Canis lupus familiaris: one gene and its partners. The protein of the gene in region 3 interacts with the protein of the main gene of each other region in a pairwise test. Links are inferred from orthologs where the notes say so. Each region holds a gene or a part of one and is shown on either strand. Other genes may lie near its edges. The genes, in order: ZC2HC1C, TRIM27 and GFAP.

Region 1 (3,747 bases), on a different chromosome or scaffold from region 3:
TCCAGGAGGGTACAGAAAGGGACTGATTCAACAGACCACAAGGAAAGAGAAAGATTTTCTTTTTCCTCAGACACCAGAGGGAAGGAATTCAGGATGAAGGGAGGCACTCTGGGCAATTCAGCCAGACTGGAGGGGAGCTGCAGGAGTTGATGACAGGCAGGCCAGATGCTGACATAATTAGGGCCTGGAGTGTAGCGGGAAATGTCTGAAACTGCAGAGAGAGAAGGCAGTTGAGTCAGCTATGAAAGAAAATAAGGAATCAAAGGACTGGCCCGGAGGAGGGCCCACCAAGGAATGTCTCTGTAACATGTAAAGCTGTAATAATGACATGCTGAAGCATCAACACCGACTACTGCTGTCCATTTTATGTCCCAAGTGCATGAATCTTTTTGAGTAGTTACAGGAAAAAAGTAAACCGCCTGTTCCAAACATCTTACACAAACGAACTAAAGCATGAAGACAAATAAACCCCTTTCTAATGTTAACAAGTCACAGAATGTCGTTCAGCGCTGAGGACCAGGTTACACCGATCATTTTCAATCCGGTAGTTAACTTTATTATCGTTACACTTGGCTGAGTCACCGTTGGGCCTCACGAAGAGACGGGCCAGGGTTACCACGTGAGAGCAAAACATCATATCAAAATAATTAGATTGGCTACGAAAACTACCTCGGAAAAGACCCTGGGCGGCACAACTTCGCCGAGCAGCTGACGTCCGACCGCAAGCTCCCAACTGCGGGCTGGGACGGGCGGGAGGGGCCGCACACCCGGGGCCCGCACGGGGCAGCCGAGCGCGCTGAGCAAGGCGACCAGCAGGCCCCCTGCCGCCGGCCGGGCGGACGCCGCAGGCCTGCACCGCGACTCCCGGGCCCTTCCCGGGGCTCCGACTCTTGCCAGAGAAGGGCACGCCCCAGGGGCTGGGAGCATCGTTCTCAGAAAAACACACGTTCTTTGATGGAGCCCCAGAAACGCCTCTCCCGCCCCCTCTCCCGTTCCCCAAGGGCAGGGCGGGACGGAGCCACGGAGTCGGCGGGACACCGGGTCAAGGGACACTCGCCCTGGCCACACCCCCGTCGCGGGCGCCTCGGGGCCGTGCGCGGGGCTGGGTGCGCACGCGCTCGCGTCTCCAGGCAACGGGAACAACAAAGGCCCGCGCAGAGCGCCTGCGCGGCGGGCGGTTGAGGCTCGGCCCGGGGGCGGTCGGGGGTGGAAAGCTAAGTCTTGGGTGGGTTTATTTATTTATTTTTTTTCTTTTCCCCTGAGCAGGAACGGTCCGCCAGAGCCTCAGGTAGGCGTAAGCAGACGAGGGGAGCAGACGTAGGGTCAGCGCCTCGCCTCCCAAGGGCGGCCGCATGGGCAGAAGAGCGAGGGCTGTGTTCCCCAAGCGGAGGCCCCAGCGGGGGCGCCCCTGCTGCGGACTCTGGGGCGGTGCGTGAGCTCAGCACCCGTGCGGCGGGCGGCGCGGCGGCCGGGTCAGGTGGCCTCCAGCTCTCAGGTTACGATCCGCGCCGTGGGGATCCTGGGTGCGGGTGTGACGGCCGGGCACCTGCGGCCGGCCCGGGCGGCTCGAGTGTCCTCTGGAGTCCAGCAGCGGGGAAGCCCTGAGAGCGCCTTGTGCGGGCCACCTACCTCCGAGCCGCAGTTTGCTCACCTGTGACACCGTAGGCCCGGACTCAGAGTCCTAAGGTCTTGTAACTCTGAGCGAAACTTCAGTGGATAGGTGAAGAAGCCAGCCAGCAAGGGAAAGTTGCTGGTCCTGTGTCACAGGCCTAAAGCCTGACTTTGAGTCCGACAGCCCTTTCCAGTAAATCTTTCCACCACCTAAGGAGTCTCCTGTGTATGGCAGGAGCATCGCTGTGTATGGCAGAGGCTGGTACTGGAATAAAGCGAGGTGGCGGGAACACCCGTGTCACATTCGTTTTTCTGTCCTCAAGATCTAATAGGCACCCACAGGAAATAATAAGCATTCACCAAATCCTTACTGAAGGAAAGTTCTGGCAGACCCAGCACCACTGTCCCTAAAAAGTTCAAGAGAATAGGTAGGACAAATGTATAAACTGTTTACTTTAGTAGCCGGGGGTAACCTCAGAAAACCTCCTCACAATATATCTGGTTTAAATCTCCCCTAGGCTTCAGTCCGGTCCCTGAATGGCTGGCCTCCAGTTGGCACCACCTCTGCCTGTGGGCGTTATGCTTCCATATAATGAAAGGGAAGCTCCAGGGCTCCTCTCAGCTAAGCAAGAGCCCTATGAAAAAGGTGACTCTTCTCAGCGGTCCTCCATGGGGCACCTGAGGAACAATTTCCAGCAGAAGCTTTTGAGCAACAAAGAGCTGACGCTGGATAATCTCTACACTCACTCCAAATGGAACGCCTGCACAAAAGCTGGGAGCTGCTCCTATCCCCACTGTGTTGGAATCAGCCAGCAAGATTCAAGAAGCGATTCCCAAGGCCAAGCAAAGGGTTCGTTTTACTCAGCAAATTCTCAGTCCTGGTATCCCAAAGCAAATAATCAGGAATTCATCCCCTTTACGAAGAAGCGAGTTGGGGTAGACCGGGCATACCCGCTGAAACCCGTGTTCCATAGGAAGTCTCACAGTACAAGTGAAGCTGGCATTGATGGGGACCAGGATGTCTCTCCGAGACCCCCTGAACCAAGAGAGTTTCCATACAGCAGCTTTGGTTCAAGGAACTGGGTGAATGCATCTGTGCTCCATGCCATTGCTGCCACACAGGAGGAGAGAGCCATGGCAAACCCCAACAGGACCGAATGGATGCAGATCCAAAGACTAGAAGCTGCAGGGGAGAGCTTACAAGAGGAAATCCGGAGAAAAGAAACCCTCCTTAGGGAAAAGCTGAAGAAGACAGAGGAGGAACTCCGAAGGATCCAGAAAGAAAAGGAACAGGCTAAGGAAAATGAAAAAAGAGAGCTACAGAGAATGACACTCCCCAGGAGGAGAATTAAAGGTAATAGCAACACCACATACAAACCTACCTTCTCCCCAGAATTCGGGTCTGAGGAGGTCTTCAGTAGAGACAGGGGAGAAGATGAACTTTGGGGACAGTCTCAAGAAAATTCTGGTCCATTCCAGTTCTCTGATTACGGAATACAGAAGCTCAAAAGGGAAAGACTGGTGGCAAGCAATAACAGAATCCGAGACCTAGTCTCAGAGTCATCAAAGGAGTTTTCTCAGTCTTCAGAAGGGCCTGGCAGTGTTTTGTGGGGATCCACCAGCAATTCTAGTTTGTCTAGGGGACCAGACTCTTCGGTTTCCAGCTGTTCCACTGAAGACCCCAAACTTGGCGAATGTAGCCACTGTGGACGCAAGTTTCTCTTGGTCAGACTGGAGAGACACTCCAACGTCTGCAGCAGGATGCAGGGTTCCAAGAGGAAAGTGTTTGACTCCTCCAGGGCCCGGGCCAAGGGCACAGAACTAGAGCAGTACCTGAACTGGAAGGGGCCAGCCCCAGTCAAGGTAAAAAGGCCAGGGCCTTATGGATTTGACTTTGGGGATCATTATAAAAGGATGCTAAATCAGTTTTCTTTAGAAAAAAACTCATGTGTCATACAGGGAGAAAGAACATTTATTGATTACTGTGTGCCAGTCACTGTGATAGGAGTTTATCATAAGATCCTCAGCACAACCCTGTGAGGGTTTCGTTGTCTCTTATCAATTCAAAGATCAAATCTCAGAGAGTTTAATTTGCTTGAAATCACAAACAGTTTTGAATGGCAGAGTCAGCATATA
Region 2 (3,647 bases), on a different chromosome or scaffold from region 3:
AGAGTATTTTCAAAACTTCCCCTTATTCTTTAAAGTGAGTGACTTTCCTGATTCCTGTTCTGCGGCCACAGATGACCCTGCTCTCCCACGTCAAGACAATAAAAGCTACCATGTTTTTGCTACCAAACCTCAACCTGCCTGCATCCCCACCTCCCCCCCACCCTCCTCTCTTCCCAAAGATCTTCCAAAACTACATCCTATACATGTGCTTAGTCCCCTTTCCCTTCCATCTTTTCTGACACAGACATTAGTGATAAGTTCATTAATTTTACAGCTTCAATGACTTTCCTCACCCAGATCCTTACAACAGACTCTCCTCCCACATGATCTCTGACAATATGTTTAGTTTGTTTCTTTAAGCATCCCTTCCCACAAAGTCCCACAATCCCCACCTCTCCTTATGGTCTTACCCCTTAACCCAGACACCCATTCCTACAGTGGTCACACACCCTGCCAGTCACCACTGTCCCTAGGATGGTTCCTTAGGGAAGTGTTAAGTGTTTACTGTGGCACTTCTCTCTGAGGGCATTAGCAATGCCCGTGGCTTTAAACCAAATGCGTGTCAGCCCTTAACTGCATGAGACTCTGCTGTCCACTCCTCCTTCCTGGTCACTTTCTGCTTCTCTGATCAAGTGTTCACTTTGCAAACTCCTCCTTTCCTCCCTGGCAATTAAATACTGGTGGTCATTAAGGCTCAAGGCTAGGCCTTCTTATTAGTCTAAAGCAGGACTCAACAAACTTTTTCTGAAAAGCCAAATAGTACATATTTTGGGTTTTTAACTCTGCTCTGCTGTGGCAGTGGGAAAGTAACAATGCACACAGTATGTACAGGAATCCAAGTGGCTAAGTGCCAATAAAATGCAGACAACAAAGTTTGAGTTTTATAGAATTTCATATACCATGAAATAAAATCTTCAGATTTTCTCCAAACGTTTAAAACTGTAAAAACCAGGGGGCCTTGGGTGGCTAAGTTGGTGAAGTGTCTGACTCTTGATTTTGGCTCAGGTCATGATCTCCGGGTCATGAGACTAAGTCCCACAATAGTTTCTGCACTGAGTATAAAGCCTACTTAAGGTTCTCTCTTCCCAGGACACCTGGGTGGCTCAGCAGTTGAGCCTCAGCCTTCGGCTCAAGGTGTGATCCCAGTCTGGCAATCGAGTCCCGCATCGGGCTCCCTGCGATGCACCTGCTTCTCCCTCTCTCTCTCACTCTCGTGAGTGAATGAATGAATAAATAACATCTTTAAAAAAAATTCTCTCTTCCCCTCTTCCTCCACTCTTCCTATTAAAAAACAAACAAAAAAAAACCCCTCCCAAACTGTAAAAACCACTTAGCCTGAAGGACATACAAAAACAGGTGGTGGAGTGGTTTGCTGACCTGTGCCCTATGCCATCATCCCTTTTAATGGCATTTATGAACACCCATTACACCCACTGTTCTCTTTATTTTTTTTTTTTTTATTTTTTTTTTTTATTTATTTATGATAGTCACAGAGAGAGAGAGAGAGGCAGAGACACAGGCAGAGGGAGAAGCAGGCTCCATGCACCGGGAGCCCGACGTGGGATTCGATCCCGGGTCTCCAGGATCGCGCCCTAGGCCGAAGGCAGGCGCCAAACCGCTGCGCCACCTAGGGATCCCTGCTGTTCTCTTTAGTACCTGACTCTGACATTAGAATATACATTTCAGGACAGCTTTTCACCACTTAATCCCAGTGCCCAGAATACTGCCGGACCCAGAAAAGACAATTCATATGCACTCAATGAACAACAGCACATTTCCTGTGGCCTTGCCAGGTTAGGTCAATGCAGCTTTGTAACTACACCCAGCTTAAATCACAGGGACCGCTTGGGCCAACCACCTGCTCCAGTGCTCAGTTTTGTGGCTGTGCTAATGTACACATATATGTTAAAATTACAGGACATTTCACTGAGTATCTTTACTCAAATCTTTAAATGGCATGTAGGCTGAACCTCCCATTACACCAGGAGTAGATCAGGTCACTGAGGCCCAGAGAGGTCAAGAGTGTGATCAGACCACGTGTGGGTACAGGACAGGCCTAGGCATTAGGTCTTCCTCTTGCCCTTCCCGTGAGACAATGCAACTGACCGATCCAAGTTGTGTCAACTGGAACTTCTGTTATGCATGTTTTCTCTCTGACAAGCCCAGAGAGCTGAGCTAGGGCTTGTTACTCCTAGAGTTGACCGGGGCGGGGAGGGGGAGGTGCTCCATACTGCCTAGCAAAGAGGGAAGGGAGACTTTTTGGCAGGAGCCACGTTGGTGGGACACTCCACACCTCCATGCCTTACCTGCAGGAGCTCCCTGGTGGGCTGCTGCTGCTTCTCTTCTAGCTGGGCAATCAGGCTACTCAAGTGGGAGATGTTGCAGGAGAACTGGGTGATGGCACCGTTGATGCTGTTGTAGATGGCCAAGTCTAGCTCCTCAAGGCGGGCCAGGAGGCGATACTCATGTTCCTTCAAGGAGTGATAGAGCTGCTCAAACTCCCAGACAATCTTCTCCCTCTCCATCTGGGTCAGGCTCTGCGTAGATGACAGGGGAGGGTACTGAAGGACAGAAGGCTCCCTTCTAGAGCCCTTCATGTCTGTCCCTGACTACCTACCCTGAGACCTCATCATCTTGTCCCGGCATGCTAAAACAAGCATCCTGTTCATTCACTCCTGGTCTCAGGCTTTACCGACTAGACACAATGGCTGAGAAGTGAGTTACCCCAGAAATAAGGAATATAGTCACAGGAGAGCCCGGTTCACATGACACATGCAACCACAGGTAGTGAGGACAGGATGGCCTGCAGTGGGAGAAGCTGGTACAGCCTTCACAGAGGCAATGTAACACACACAGTGTGGTTGGAGAAACAGGGGTTCACCATGTGGTCAAAGGGTAGACACGCTTTCCTGGCAGAAGAAACGACGGGAGAGATGGTGAACGATGGTGTCTGGCAAAGCACCTAAGTTTTGAGGGAGAAGCCAGAAGAGGTAAGAGAGAACACACCTTGCCTGGAAGGCCAGGGTGGGGCAAGACTTTCCTGCAACTAGGAGCCGTGAAAGGGAAGTGACTGGGTTCAGATATATGCCATGTGGGGTGGACTAGGACACTCAATCCTCGCATCATGACTGCAACCACGTCACCAAGGCCCTTCCCGTGCGGCCCTCACCCCCTTTCTGGCCACCAGGGCTGTTCATCACCTACCCTCATTGGCTATGGGTGTGGTGCCCTTCTGGAACAGATGTTTGCCAAAACTAGTCTACCCTTCCTTCTCTATCTACCTCCCACTGCCAAAACCCTGAGGCTCTCTGCTAAACAAAGTGTCAGCAAGCTCCCTTTGTTTACTCCTGGGGAATTAAGTTTTCCTGGGGCCCAGCCACACCCATCATTCACATATTATATTATGCTGCCTTCAGCTGTCACGACAGAGTTGAGTAGTTGTGACATAGACTAAGTGGCCCACGGAGTCAAAAATCCTGACTATGTGGCCCTTTACAGATGTTTGTTGACACCTGTCCTGAGCTCCACTCTTCCTGAGAACCTTTCCCATGACCCACTCTTCTCACCACCTTCCTAAGCACTCTCTGTGCAACACACTGAGGAGTGAACACAAACCTATTTCGCATCCTTTTGGTAAGGTCTCACCT
Region 3 (3,711 bases):
TGCACCTCCTGGCCAGGAGAGAAGGGATGCCAGGGCTTGGGGCCTAGGCTGCAACTGGCATTTCCCCACAATATCATGCCCTTGCCTGCCTGCCCCTTGGACATTGATGTTAGCTAAGGGAAATTGGGCAGTCCTATTAGAGGAAGTGGCATGGCCCAGGCCAGGGGAGGCAGAGGGTAGTTTGGGGGCCTCATGGTGTCCTCCTCCCAGGTTCCACCAGGCAGGAGCACTGAAAGTGTGCCTGTGTTCTTATGGAGAGCAACTGAGTCCCTGTGGTGTGGGTGTGTCTGCAGGGTCCCAGGTTCCATGGCATCATAGATTATGAATCTATAATCTGAAGTCAGATCTCAGTGGTGTCTTTTTAAAATGAGTGGCTCGGGCAGCCCTGGTGGCGCAGCGGTTTAGCGCCGCTTGCAGCCCGGGGTGTGATCCTGGAGACCCTGGATCAAGTCCCACATCAGGCTCTCTGTATGATGCCTGCTTCTCCCTCTGCCTGTGTCTCTACCTCTCTTGCGCCCTCTCTGAATAAATAAATCTTAAAAATAAATAAATAAATAAAATAAATAAATAAATAAAAATAAAATGAGTGGCTCGCATTTAAATGGAGACAGGTGGCAGTGGGGGTGATGTCAGAGAGACTATGTGACCTCAGCAAGTCACATATCTGGGCTTCGGCGTCCTCCTCTGTGAAAAGGAAATAATACCGGAAGGGTTCCTATCACACAGGGCTGTTGTGAAATAAAAAATGGGGTGGGGCACCTGGGTGGCTCAGTGGTTGAGCGTCTGCCTTTGGCTCAGGTCTTAATCCTGGGGTCCTGGAATCGAGTCCCACATCATGCTCCCCATAGGGAACCTGCCTCTCCCTTTGCCTATGTCTCTGCCTCTCTATGTCTCTCATGAAGAAATAAAATCTTTAAAAAAAAGGAGGGGGGGGCAACAAGTTCTGTTATAATTCTTAGTAAGTGGTGTGTGTCTATGGATTTCATCAGGGGCTAAGGATGCTCTCTTATCTCTCTGTCTGTCTCCCCTATGCTTATTTTCTTTCTGTCTGTCTCTGTCTCTCTATCCATTTCAATCTCTCTGAGGGCCTTACCTCATCGTGGATCTTCCTCAAAAACCGGATTTCCTCCTCTAGAGACTCAATCTTCCTCTCCAGATCCAGACGGGCTAAGGTGGCTTCATCTGCCTCCTGGAGCAGGGAGGGACGAAAGGCTGCTCTGACCCCAGACTCCTTCTCCCCACTCCCATGTCTTGTCTGGTCCCTCCTTCTGTGGCTGGGGAGAGCAGCACATTGCTCTGGAGGGCTGGGCTTAGGGGCTGTGTGAGTGAGCTGCCATCAACTCTTTACCCCCCTCCCCCATCCCTCCCCTCCACCCCCCTCACCTGTCGATAACTGGCCAGGTTGTTCTCAGCCTCCAGCCTCAGGTTGGTTTCATCCTGGAACCTGGGGTAGGGGGACACATTCCCGGGTGTCTGCCCCAATCTCCCTGGAGGTGGCTGCCAGAGAGACCCCCACCCCTACCCCTAGGCCCAGTGGAATGACAGGAGGAGTGAAGGGCAGAGGGTCCCAGACAGAGCCTTGGCCAGGAGGGTGAGCAGATAAGGGCCTGTGCTTTAACTCATTACTAAAGTGCTTTATCAAGGTTGGTGCACCTGCTCCTGCTCACACAGGCACTTTCACCAACATACACTCACTGCTGCATGCACACTCATCTTCCTGTACTTGAGGGCACACATGCCTGCCCTGCCAGCTCAGCAAAACGCCACGTCCCTGGGGTTTCCTCTGACCTTTGGAAATAGGTTTATTAGAATCTCTACTTCACAGCACTGCAAGCTAAAGTGGCTTGACCAGGATCATAAGCTGGTGACAGGCAGTATCACCTGTGTTTCCAAGCCAGGCTCACCTGCTCTTTTCCTCACCTCCTCCTTTGCCCCAGAGCCCCGTCCTCCTAGTGAACACCAATCTTCCCTTCCCATTTCTCCACTCCACGGGCTCTGCAAGGGCACCAGGCCCAGCGGCAGCGAATGAAACATGAAGACCCTGCCTATGGGGGTCCCTGACTGTTCCCACATGGCTTTCCCCAAAGGGGAGGTGCTGAGAGCACCGTGGCTCCTCTGCAAGAGGTCTTTGGGAGTCAGATCCTTGGGACTCGGCCTCCTCCCAGTCCCTCTCATCTTGGGGAGCAAGGACAGCCCTCCCCTCCCGGAGATGGGTAAACAGAGGAGCCAAGGATCACAGAGTCAGAGGCTCCGCCTGAGGTCCTGGGCCTGCGAGGGGCGGGCGTCTTCCCTGCTCCGGAGGTCCCTCACCCCGGGCCCCCTCCTCACTTCTGCCTCAGGGTGCCCAGGTCCTGTGCCAGATTGTCTCTCTCGACCTCCAGCCGGGCGCTGTTGGCAGTGAGTTGGTCTAGCCGCAGCCTTAGCTCTCGCAGCTCGGCCTGGTAGACGTCGGCCAGCTTGGTGGGCTCCTTGGCCCGCAGTTGGTTCAGCTCAGCAGCCAGAGCCTTGTTCTGCTGTTCCAGGAAGCGCACCTTCTCGATGTAGCTGGCAAAGCGGTCGTTGAGCTCCATCATCTCGGCGCGCTCGCTGGCCCGTGTCTCCTTGAAGCCGGCGTTGAGCGCCGCGGCCAGCGAGAAGTCCACCCGGGTTGGCGGCAGCGGCATCCGAGCCACGGAGGGGCGGGGGCCCGGCCCCAGACGGCGGCCGGAGCCCGGGCCTCCCCCCGCCATGTCCCACGAGGAGACGTAGACGTAGGAGCGGCGAGCGGCCGAGGCGACCCGTCTCCTCTCCATGCTGGCCCTGCCCGCTCCCGGGAAGTGAGGGCTTTATGGAGGCGAGGGCTTGCCTGGCACGGCCCCGGCTGCCCCTGGCAACGCCCCCTGGCATGGCCTGAGGGGGAGGGGCTGGGCCGCAGCTCCGGGGGGGCTCCTCTCACCCCACCGAGGTCACTGTGCCCAGGGGCTGGGCCTCGTGGGCACGCCAACCCCAGCCGGGTCACAGACAGAGGTGCTGGTGGGCGATGCCTGGGGCCTGATGCTCCATCTGCGGCCCTGACCACTTAGGCAAGGAGGCCCTTTCTCTGGGAAGTTGGGCCAAGAAAGGGCTGGATTAGATGACCTCTGACCCGCTTTCCACCGCTTTCCACCTCTTAGATCCCATAAAGCAGGCCTTCCCGGCTCAGCACTCCTCCTAGTGCCTGCTAAGTGCTGGAATTTGCGAACAGCAAATGTGTTCCATACTCTCAAGAAGCAGCCCGTGTTACAGTGCTGAGCCCCGATCCTAGTGGACTGTTGGACTTCTCTGCTCTGAACATAGGCGTCCTGCATTCCTGCTTTCTCCCCCTTCCCCGGAGGTCTGGGGCTGTGGGCTGGAACTGGATACCAGCCCTTTGTCTAGAGGGTCATTTGAGGCCTCTGTCCAGCAGGGGGTGGGGGGTGAAGGAAGGGACATAGAAGTTTTGAAGGGGCAAGAAGGGCAGGTGTTGGACTCCCTGGCCTTCTCCCTGGACCACACTTAAGCCCCTGCCTCTGTCCCACCAAGTTCACTTCCCCTGTGCCTGGCCTCTCTGTACCCCTGCCTAGAGCCCGGTCTAGACAGCTGCACAAAGCAGTTATAGATGAGCTGGCTGTCCCAGCTCCCATCTTTGTTGCTCCATCCCCCAGTTTCCCCACCACCCCTCACCTCACTTTCACACTGGAGATTTATATCCTT

The links.
Region 1: the proteins of GFAP (region 3) and ZC2HC1C interact in binary tests that used the Homo sapiens proteins (3 or more experiments, as listed by UniProt). The link is inferred for Canis lupus familiaris from reciprocal best matches to the Homo sapiens genes GFAP and ZC2HC1C.
Region 2: the proteins of GFAP (region 3) and TRIM27 interact in binary tests that used the Homo sapiens proteins (3 or more experiments, as listed by UniProt). The two-hybrid records come from large-scale screens. The link is inferred for Canis lupus familiaris from reciprocal best matches to the Homo sapiens genes GFAP and TRIM27.

What each region holds. Positions count from the first base shown.
Region 1 is NC_049229.1:48,486,782-48,490,528, forward strand, and holds the start of ZC2HC1C (zinc finger C2HC domain-containing protein 1C), read left to right. Parts: upstream 1-1,137; 5' UTR 1,138-1,225; exon of another isoform or gene 1,226-1,288; intron 1,289-1,369; exon of another isoform or gene 1,370-2,039; intron 2,040-2,129; 5' UTR 2,130-2,148; coding exon 2,149-3,474; intron 3,475-3,747.
Region 2 is NC_049256.1:27,401,663-27,405,309, forward strand, and holds part of TRIM27 (zinc finger protein RFP), read right to left. Parts: intron 2,538-3,647; coding exon 2,307-2,537; intron 1-2,306. UniProt on the Homo sapiens protein: E3 ubiquitin-protein ligase that mediates ubiquitination of various substrates and thereby plays a role in diffent processes including proliferation, innate immunity, apoptosis, immune response or autophagy.
Region 3 is NC_049230.1:18,455,894-18,459,604, reverse strand, and holds the start of GFAP (glial fibrillary acidic protein), read right to left. Parts: upstream 2,819-3,711; 5' UTR 2,793-2,818; coding exon 2,329-2,792; intron 1,445-2,328; coding exon 1,384-1,444; intron 1,190-1,383; coding exon 1,094-1,189; intron 9-1,093; coding exon 1-8.